Linked DNA regions of Mus musculus: regions 2 and 3 are each reported to be linked to region 1. Evidence: microRNA targets listed by miRTarBase, many of them from high-throughput screens and not tested one by one. Region 1 holds a microRNA gene; each other region holds the end of a gene's coding sequence.

Region 1 (3,255 bases):
TGGGACGCAGCTCGAGGTGACGGACCGCTGCCACAGGCTCGTGTGCACAAGTGGTGCTGCGCGGACACTTTGGGGGTTAGGTGTGCGTGGGCCGCCGGGGCGCGTTTCCTGCACGTGGCTCCTCGCCGCCCTCCCTCCTCCACCAGCTAGGAGAGCAGAGGGCCAGGAGCTCTAGGAAGATGCGTGCGGTTCCCTGATCCTGGCAGGCAGGACAGCAGCGGGATGGTCGCGCGCGCCACCTGCCAGGGCGGGTCACTGGCAGATCCCCTACGCGCTTGTTCTGGATGACTGGACCAGGAGATGCGTACCTCCGCGGGCGCAGCTGTGATCCCAGAGAGTTAACTAAGGTGGGAGGGGATGGAGCTGGCAAGACTTGAGAAAAGCAAAGTACCTGAGTGTAGTTGAGGGGTGCCAGGCAACTCGTGAGAAAAGGACTCTCCCTTGTTGCTCTGAAGGTTTCTGGAGAACTTGTGGGTGGTCAAATGCCAGGGTGCACGTGGGGTGTGGGGCGGGAGGACTCCCGACCTACCTTGGTTTCCCTCCCACCAACCCGAGAATGGAGGGAGAGGCTTAAGCTTGGCGCGTTTTGGGGGCTTTGAATGGAGAACTCCGTTTCCCATAATGCTTTGTTTCTTTCTGTTTAATTTTGGTGGCCGCTAAGGTGTCTTGAAGACCTAAGCGCGTGGCATGACTGGCTGGAGCACACCCTGCGTTCCCAGGAGGTTCACAGATCTCTACTGGAGCCGCTGCTGAAGATGCGGGAATAGACCAGAGAAAATCCCGAAATGGTAAAAGACTGGGTCCTCTTTGCAATTTTAGAAGTTGTACAGCGACTTTCTAGTATATATGATGGAGAGCAGATGTGTTAAAGAAAGGTATTAGCTAGAAGGAGCTTTCTCTGGAGGGCTGAGGTATGGTTTTGCGAAGTTGAGTCAGGTTTTGTAATATATTTTTAGTGGAGGCAAAAATCTCTAGTTGTAGGAACCCAGTTCAAGAAGAAAAGTATAATAAGCCAATACTTGCACTATAGGAAGCAGATTTCATATTTACTTCAAAAGTTTTGCTAATTTATATTTAAAATGTTTTAAGAACTATCTTAGTCACTAAGTGGCTTCGAAAAGTTCCAACATTTAAAATATCCTTTCTCATTGAACACATTTCAAGTTTTGTGTCCCTGAAGTTTATTGGTGTCCCCCCATCAACACAAACATTCCATCATGGGAGGGAGGGAGCTCGTGACCCCTCAGACTGTCCTCTGCAGCATTTTCCTGGGTAAGATACACACTTGGAAATGAGAGAGGTTTTTCCTGTGGAAGATAATGACATGAAGCCAAAGAGCTAATCTGACTTCTTTAGGTTTAATGGAGAAAATGGGTCCATAAATGTTTAAACAGAAGTAGAGCCCTTTGAAATAGATGAAAATGTGACATCTCTAGGCCATCTGTGCGGTATGTGAAGAGTGTAAAACTGTTTCTTAAAGCGGCTCTGAAATTTCTATCATTTTCTCTTAATGGGCTGGGGGCAGGGATGCTTCATGTAATCAAACATAGAGACCTTCCGAGTGGCTCCCCAAAGCTCTGGATGAGCTCAAGACGTCAGTACTCACCCTAATGTTATTTATTTATTTTTTTGCTTACATCTTTTCCTGGGCTCTTGCCTCTTAGAAAACCATGGTGGATATTACAGCTCTGCAAATTTTCTGGGATGCGAATCTCAAATTTCCTTAGACGGAGAGGGAGTCCAAAATCCTCTTACTCTTAAGAGTCAGACATTCTGAGATTGCCAGTGTTATTCATGTTTAAGTCTGTGTAAATAATTGAGCTTATTAATGTTTGAAGTAACACAACCCCATTTGCACTCTTAACGGAAGGCAAACTTGTTTTAGAAATAGTAACTCACAGTTCACTTACTTGCTGTGTGTGTGTGTGTGTGTTTATCCAGGTGAGTCTGCAGATCTGGCAAAGAAGAGTTCGTGGAAGACTTCAAGGTTACACTCCTGGAGTATGCCTTGGCCATGTCAAAGTGCTAACAGTGCAGGTAGCTTTTTGAGTTCTACTGCAGTGCCAGCACTTCTTACATTACCATGGTGATTTAATCAGAGGCCGCTGAGTCCCCTGGTTTCTGCATAGTTAGATTGTGGATGTTTTTGAGCTGCTCCTTGTAATGTGTCTCTTGTGTTAAGGTGCATCTAGTGCTGTTAGTGAAGCAGCTTACAATCTACTGCCCTAAATGCCCCTTCTCGCACAGGCTACTTCTTACCTTGCATTTGAAAAGCATATCTTGAGAAATGATTTGAACGGCACAAGTTTCAAAGGCTCTTTCAGTGTTTCGCCGAGAAACAGATGGCGGAGACTGTAGTATACAGTTGTGTAGAAGAACAAGCTCGGATCCTAGTAGTGCCAAAGTGCTCATAGTGCAGGTAGTTTTTATACCACTCTACTGCAGTGTGAGCACTTCTAGTACTCCTGGATCAACCAAGGTCTTGTTGAAGCAACTACAGCGCAAGGACATTGCTACTTACGATTAGTTTTGCAGATTTGCAGTTCAGCGTATATGTGAATATATGGCTGTGCAAATCCATGCAAAACTGATTGTGGGAATGTGTACCTTTCTGCATCGTAATGGACACCTTTATGCACATCTTCAGCATCCATGCCCATTCATCCACAGGTGGGGATTGGTGGCATTACTTGTGTTAGATATAAAGTATTGCACTTGTCCCGGCCTGAGGAAGAAAGAGGGTTTTTAATCGTCTTTTAGTTTCTGAGTATTGTAAGTTATGTTAGACTGTAATTATGAAATGAACTGTTTTGCTGTTATCAGGTGGAACACGATGCAATTTTGGTTGGTGTAATAGGAGGAAAATTGCACGGTATCCATCTGTAAACCGCAGGACCTATGTGGACAGCCGTCTATCAGTGCTATAGTAAGATTGTAAAATCCTTTAGCTAGTCATTGCTTTGAACACATTTGGAGTGGATTTTTTTTTTTTTTTTTTGGTTTTTCAAGACAGAGTTTCTCTGTATAGCCCTGGCTGTCCTGGAACTCACTCAGGGTGGCCTCGAACTCAGAAATCTGCCTGCCTCTGCCTCCCAAGTGCTGGGATCAAAGGCGTGCGCCACCACGCCCAGCTTGGAGTCTAATTTTTTAAAACTACATATTTTTAAATATATTTGAAATCCTGACATTTTGATTGCACTGAATGTAAACAAACCTGAAATTTGCAAAATAAAGCTGATATATAAGTCTGAAAAA
Region 2 (3,255 bases), not on the chromosome of region 1:
TCCATTATGCCTTCCTAGCTTTCTAGAGAAAATATTCTTACAACACTCAAACGGCTTCTTACAAGAAACATGTCTTATGGTCTAGCTTATTTATTGTACCCATTTTGCCAAAGCACCCCAGGGAATTTGGGGAAATAAATATGGAACAAAGAATGGGGTTGCCTTCCCTTCCTGGATCACAATGTCTGGGGATTAGGATCCATCCATCATCCTAGCCAAGAACTGCATGAAGACAGACCTCCAGGTCAAACTTGCCGTGGGATCTTCAAGCAAGGGGCCTGTCGTCTTCTGAGCTGCGTAAATTTGTCTACAGTGGTGAACTCTGAACAATGCATAGAGTTTCTAAATGCAGCTCCCGAGGCTATCTCAGAGTCATGGGACAGACTGGGTCAAAAGAAGGAGGGCTGTATTGGAGGCAGAAAGCAGAAGGAAGACTCTTCTGTCTCTGAGTGACAGCCTTGATAAGGAAGTCAAGCACAGCCCACGGACTGCTTCAAGGGAAGGGTCCTGGTGAGCAGGCAAAGGCACAACATGCCCCTGGAGCTGAGCAGTGGGTGTGCACCCCAGGTGTGCTGGCTGGGGGGCTTTCAAGCAGTGCTCGTGAGCAAGAAAGCTGGGGCAAATCTGGGCAAAAGGGGGTGAGGGTATGTCTGCTTTAGGAGGGACATATAACATGGAATTACCATATTTTATATTTTGACTCGGAATGTCTGAAGATCATCCATACCACTGAACAGATTCCATTCCGTACCTCGCCCCCGCCCCCAGCCATTTTATGATCTTTAGTCTGCATCTATGTAAGAAACAGTGCCCTTGGCTGCCTTCCTTCTTAACACACAATGCATGACCCATAGAGAGCAGTTTTGCTTTCTATCCAATTTCAACCTAGCTGCTCTGGTCAACAAATCCGGAACATTTAAAGTACACCCATCTAGGAGATACATGGCCTGCTTAGATAAAACACAAACTCCTGGCCCCAGCTTCAGCCTCATGGCACAAAGATGATTTCCTCACAGATAATCAGCATGCAATCCCAGATCGCCACCCATCTGGGAGAGGCACAATATACAAAGCACAGATTACAGACTAGTACCAGTTTTAGGAATAAGAAATCATAGAAAATAACATTTAAAAAGTCAAAACATTTGAATCTTCAAAAGTGAAAAAGTTAAGATAAAAAATAAACCACACATGCTAGGATTAAAAACATTTGATGTCTGCCTGATGCTAACTTATAAAGCCAGAGGGCACAGGGCTACGTCCAGTGGCCCCCACCTCCGAAACCATGAGACTCTGCTCCTTTCTGTCTTGTCTCAGGGAAACATCACTTCAGTAAGGAAATGAAACAGGCATCTTTTATCAAACTTCCAAAACAAAACAACACCCCTAATTCTACAAACTCGCATTTAAAAAAATCTCCCCTATAATTCTAATTTGCCCTAGAGAAAAATCACAGGGTTTGGGGGTTCACCCAAGGGTAAGAACTCCAGGAGTCTCACGCTAGCGTATGAAAGCGCATTGCACTCCAATATGGTTAAGAAAACTTCATCTGATACCTCAGAGTTGACAAACATTTAAAATAACATAGAAAAACGTGAGGTTTTTCTCCCCTATCTTTTTATAATACACACCATAAATAAAAACACCCGATCAATGTCCTTGGGGGTTCATAAAGCATCCTGAATATGAATATATATCTAAGCACAGTCTGGAGGACTCGAGGAGATGCCAGTCTTGCTATTTGAAAGCCTCAGACAAGGCACTGAAGTGGAGGCTCCAGGAGACATGAGAGCTATGACTCTCTTCAAACACAAACAGTTCACACACACCGGCCAGGCAAGTGGAAATGCATCTTGTCATTGAGTCCTCTTCTGGTAACTCCGGGTGAAACGGTGCTTCAAAAGCTCCCCCAACATCCAAGAGGAAAAGCTAAAAGTTCAGACTGTCCCACCTTGTCCCAGTGCTGTACCCTGTGACCCCACATGGGAACCAATGACTTTCTAGTAACTAATATGTTGCTCTCTTCTGGAATATAAAGGAGGGGTCAGGAGGAGAGAGGGGGGAGGGAATGCCTATCCCAGACACGAGCTACTTATTTGCTTTGTCTCTCTTGTCCAGATCACTGGATAGACTGTAGCGGGAGGAAGTGTAGTGAAAGAGCTCGCACAGAAAGCGCCCGCCCCCGGCCCTCTTCTGAGGCTGCTGGGTATCAATCAGGCCAGTGTGTCCCAGAACTGAGGTGGCTCCCTTCGGAGTACTCGTGGAATGAAGGAGACGCATGGAAAGCCATGAGCGGGGACAGGACCTCGAGGTCAATGGTAAGGCTGGAGATTGGTTTCTGGGTGACTTTCAGAGTCCAAGTGTGGAAGAGAGGCCAGCTTCCTCTGTCCTTGCCAGCTTGGCTCCTCTCCAGACCCTTCTGGCACCATCCTGCGCATTCCCTTGTGGCCAACCCGGATGCCACAGAGGATCAGCACCGCTCCACTCCTCTGAGCAAGAAACCGGGTGTGATGGAAACACGCTGGACTTGCTGGTTTAAGAAAAAGGTGAACAGGAGCCTGTCTTTTCAAAAACCACGCCTAGTGGCAGTTCAACTTTCCTCTGGCCTTCCGTTCTCTCGCCTCCATCTTGATCTGAGCCACGGACTGTCACCTGCAGTCACTAGTAGTAGGGCCCCAGCTTTTCATATCCCAGATAACTAGGCCACTCTGGAAACAGGCCAAAGGAACACCGAGGGCTCCCAAACTGGTCAAAAGAGATTCCAAAATCTGGTCCATTGTACGGCTCAATCTTTCCCGGAGAGGATCGGAGTTCAGCCCGGGTGATCCTGTAGTTTTTGCCTTTGTTGCTGTCCCAGTACGCCTGGCCGTTACACTCGTAGCACACGGCAAACTCCATTCTTTCGTAAGACTGAATTTTCTCGGGTAAGCTGATGTCAAAGGAGAATGTGTCCCTGTCTGAACCAGCGTAAGTGTCCTTCACATACTGACAAGGGAAATCTGTGAAGCTTTTCCAGGTGTCAAATGTCATCCTGATCTTCACAACCTTCTCGAAGGCCAGGTTCTGGACCTTCACGGTGCCCGCGATGGCCTTATCCTTCAGCACACAGTTTTCTAGGCAGACGTGGTTGGTCTGAAGGCGATTTCTGAAGTCTAAGTAATCTGCGGAAGGCTGCGGAAAATCCAAAACAAAGCTCTCGCTCTCTGCTGTCGTCAGACTCACGATGTTGTCTAGGAGCTCGGTGATGTTAAAGGG
Region 3 (3,255 bases), not on the chromosome of region 1:
TTCAACAACTAACAACAAAAAAACACAATTGGTTCAACACTTGGGTCTTTCCCGTTCTTAATGTCCTATGCTCCCTAGCCCCAAAAATGTCATTCTTTAGAGTTGCCGCACCAAAATCTTCCACACTACATGACAGTACCTAAATAGGCTGCATTTAAAAGAACCAAACAGCCTAACACTACTAGAGAATGCACACCTCCCAGTGATTGACACATGCATAACAACTCAGTCAGGTTTTTGTTTGGGGGGGTGGGGGGAGGTACCTATTTGAATTGTCAACCCCAGTTAAGTTAAAACTATGCATTCAGATTTGCTTACGGTGGTATTACTGCAGTTCTGATTCTCAAGTGATCACCTCTGGACTGTTCACCCCTCAGCAAGTTCCCCTCCCCCAAGTAATCCTAACTCTTCCATATTTCTTTCCACTTGCCCAGAACAACGGCTTCACACACTTATTGATACCGTTTTTTCTACAAAAGTTGGTCTCCTGGCTTTTCCTCCAGCTCCACACGGATTCACCCCAGCATACTAGGACCGGCAGTGGTGTTTCAGGCATATCGCTCATGGGCAAACCTACAACTCAGTTGCAGGACCGTGGATGGGGCTTCCGGGCACACAGCTCGCTCACTGTTCCATCCTGTCGGAAGATGGCTAGAGTCTCTTCTGTGCATTGTCAACAAGCAAGCCCGAGGCGCTCCTGTGCAGGTACGGTGCCTTCTGTCAGCTGCCAGCCACCGAGAGTTCTTCACATCACAGACTCCAGGCAAGTTTTCCTTTTCCTAAAAAGGCTTCCTTTGTTCCCCCTCCTCTTGGGTCCAGAATGTCTGTGCTACAGAGCATTTTCTGTGCTTTCCCTGAACAGGTGTGAATAAAAGCGGCAGTCAGCCATTCATCAACATGTCTGGATTTGTATTATCCCAGGGAGGTATTTGCAGAAAAAAAGGAAGATCTCAGGGAACGGACGTCTGCTGTCGCTTCACGCCTGTGTTGTGCTTCAGTCACAGGACTTGCTTTTCCCACTGTCTGCAGAGATTAAAGATGTCTGCACCCATCCGCATGTGCTATAGGACTAGACGGACATTATAAACTCTCTCGGAGACCAGGCTCAGCAAACACCAGTGGCACTGCTGAGCGACTGCACACAGAAATGTAAACATGAATGTATCTACACACTTGCTGAAGCCACTGAAGGGAAACAGTGCTTTCTATTGCTGGGATTCTGAGAGGGCCCATTTAACAGATTTGAACCTTGGACCAATTAATGAGTTCAAGCAAACACCCTTTCCCATTTGATCCAGTGTTTCCCACCAATGGTTTCTACACCGAGACTGCAAAATTGCTTTTAGCATATTGTGCCTGTCTCTTCCTTCCCCAGCACCCTCCTCAGCCATGAGGAGTGTGGCTCTACAGAGAGCCTCTTACCTTTTACTCCTTGACCTTCCAGGTTAGAGTAAAACATGGGCTGGAAACCGTGGGTGCAACTACCTTGACTATGTAACACTTGTCCTTTACAAGGTATTATCTACACTAAATACAGAATACATTTTCCCTATGTTCTAACTGTTCTTGCTTTACATCAATTCCCTTTGTTTGGACAAGAAACGGAATCCTGTCTTCCTGTGAGGGAATCTAGAATCTGTTACAGAAAAAGAAAAACAACAACAACAACAACAACTTCTACAGAGTTTTAGTTGAAAAAGAGAAAGGCAGAGCCACCAAGCACATTTCAGGCTGTCTTGTAGGCAGCCGTGTGTGCACCCCTGATTCCCAGGGAAACCAGGTTTTCACTGGCTGGTACTTTCTTTTCAAGTGCAGTACTGCTCAATGTGCCTTATGCATCGGCAAAGCCTGACCGATCACAAAGCATCCTGGTTCCAGCTTCTTTTTTTTTTTTTTAAAGTGACAGGACACTGACTATAAAATAAGTTTTGTTTTGTTTTGTTTTAAAAACAATTATTTATAAGGACATTGAAATCTGTGTCTTTATAAACTGGTTTCAGAATATCCCAGTTATGATATGTAAGAAATAGTTGATAAAATCATACTGAAATCTCATCTAGAAAACGACGTCAGGAGAAAGGGCAAGGGCCTTACAAATGCTTATTGCCAAAGTTAACTTTCTATGAGAGAAGTTTAAAGATCGTTTAGATCTAGCATACCACACAGCAGCATAAAATGGGCATGTTTGAAGATGTGGAAAAATACTAAAAGCTAATTCTCTTTTTCCAAATATGGAAAACATGGGTACTTTTTACCACGGCAGTGTATCTGTCCCTGTGACACACATCACATCTGCTTATGTCACAGACTCACAAAAGCCAGTCAAGTAAGGGAACTGCCTGTTCGAATCTGCAGCCAAATATAGTGCAATTGCTGGGCAGCCTGTACCCCACAGTGCAGGCCCGAAGAGATCAGTAGAACAGTGAAGGTAACAGAGTTCTGTAAAACTTTCAAAAGCTGATGCTCCTTAAAGGCATTGACAGTGGCAAAGTCAGAAGTAAGAGGTCTATGGACCCACCCAATTAAAAAGTTACATGGAAATGATACAGGCCGTTTGGTTTCTCTCTCCCACTTATGCACACCATTCAATAAACACAGAAAAAAGGAAATACTCCTCTTATAAGACTAGATGCGGTGAATACCACAGCTAGCAAAAGATTCCATAGAAACCCTTCTTGGAAAGTCCTTTAGAAAGTCAAGGCTGATCAGCCTTTGCACGTTGAGGTAAAAATTCTGCCCAGTGCATCAGAAAACACAATCTATGAGTATCTATTTCTTTAACAAAAAAACCCAACTGGCTCAATTTTGTTGATGTATCAGACAGGGCTGCAGAGTAGACTCAGTGCAACCATTCTGAGCTGCTGGTAGGGACCACCTGAGAGAGGCAGTAGGCGTCGGAAACATTTTGAGGATGCGTGAGATGCCAAATTTGTTGAGTTCTTTTCCAAGACTCTCAGGCAAAATACATAGTGTGCTGGGTATCATGGTGGATCTGCACAGCCTTAGCCAAGGCCTGAGGATCCCGGCCGTTGCTCTGTCCTGACACGTGACTGCCTTCCGCACTGTAATGAAAACAAAACAAGAAACCGGGCATTAGCAGAGGACAACTTGAAACTTCAGTATTTCAAAGAGCACAAACAGTCTTGTATTCAAGAACATCTTGGCTGAAGCCTGGGCTACTCAAACAATTTGTTTCCTTAGACACGTTGGTTCAACTGAAAAGTACAGTACAGCTTATTTAATGGGTGGTTGCAA

What was found. The annotated mature microRNA mmu-miR-20b-5p reads CAAAGUGCUCAUAGUGCAGGUAG and lies in region 1 at 2,401-2,423, shown strand. An mRNA with a match to its seed (bases 2 to 7 or 8) in the 3' UTR can be bound and repressed. Matches are read on the target gene's strand: a 7mer-m8 pairs with bases 2 to 8, a 7mer-A1 pairs with bases 2 to 7 and ends in A, and an 8mer does both.
Region 2: the mRNA of Ppp1r3b is a reported target of mmu-miR-20b-5p. The part of its 3' UTR that is shown has no 7-base or 8-base seed match.
Region 3: miRTarBase lists Ago4 as a target of mmu-miR-20b-5p. Seed matches in the 3' UTR shown: 7mer-A1 at 1,896-1,902.

The regions. Positions count from the first base shown.
Region 1 is chrX:52,741,327-52,744,581 of GRCm38, reverse strand. Mir20b (microRNA 20b) reads left to right here and starts at 2,390; the gene lies at 2,390-2,469. It overlaps Mir363 (microRNA 363), which reads left to right and starts at 2,815; the gene lies at 2,815-2,889. It overlaps Mir92-2 (microRNA 92-2), which reads left to right and starts at 2,654; the gene lies at 2,654-2,744. It overlaps Mir19b-2 (microRNA 19b-2), which reads left to right and starts at 2,516; the gene lies at 2,516-2,599. It also overlaps Mir18b, Mir106a and Kis2.
Region 2 is chr8:35,384,270-35,387,524 of GRCm38, reverse strand. It overlaps Ppp1r3b (protein phosphatase 1, regulatory subunit 3B), which reads right to left. Exons shown (of 2, transcript NM_001364452.1): 2 at 1-3,255. The coding sequence ends at 2,662. Among named protein-coding and RNA genes, the nearest start is that of Ppp1r3b, 9.2 kb to the right of the region's middle.
Region 3 is chr4:126,490,270-126,493,524 of GRCm38, forward strand. Ago4 (argonaute RISC catalytic subunit 4) reads right to left here. Exons shown (of 18, transcript NM_153177.3): 18 at 1-3,062. The coding sequence ends at 2,954. Among named protein-coding and RNA genes, the nearest start is that of Ago1, 23 kb to the left of the region's middle.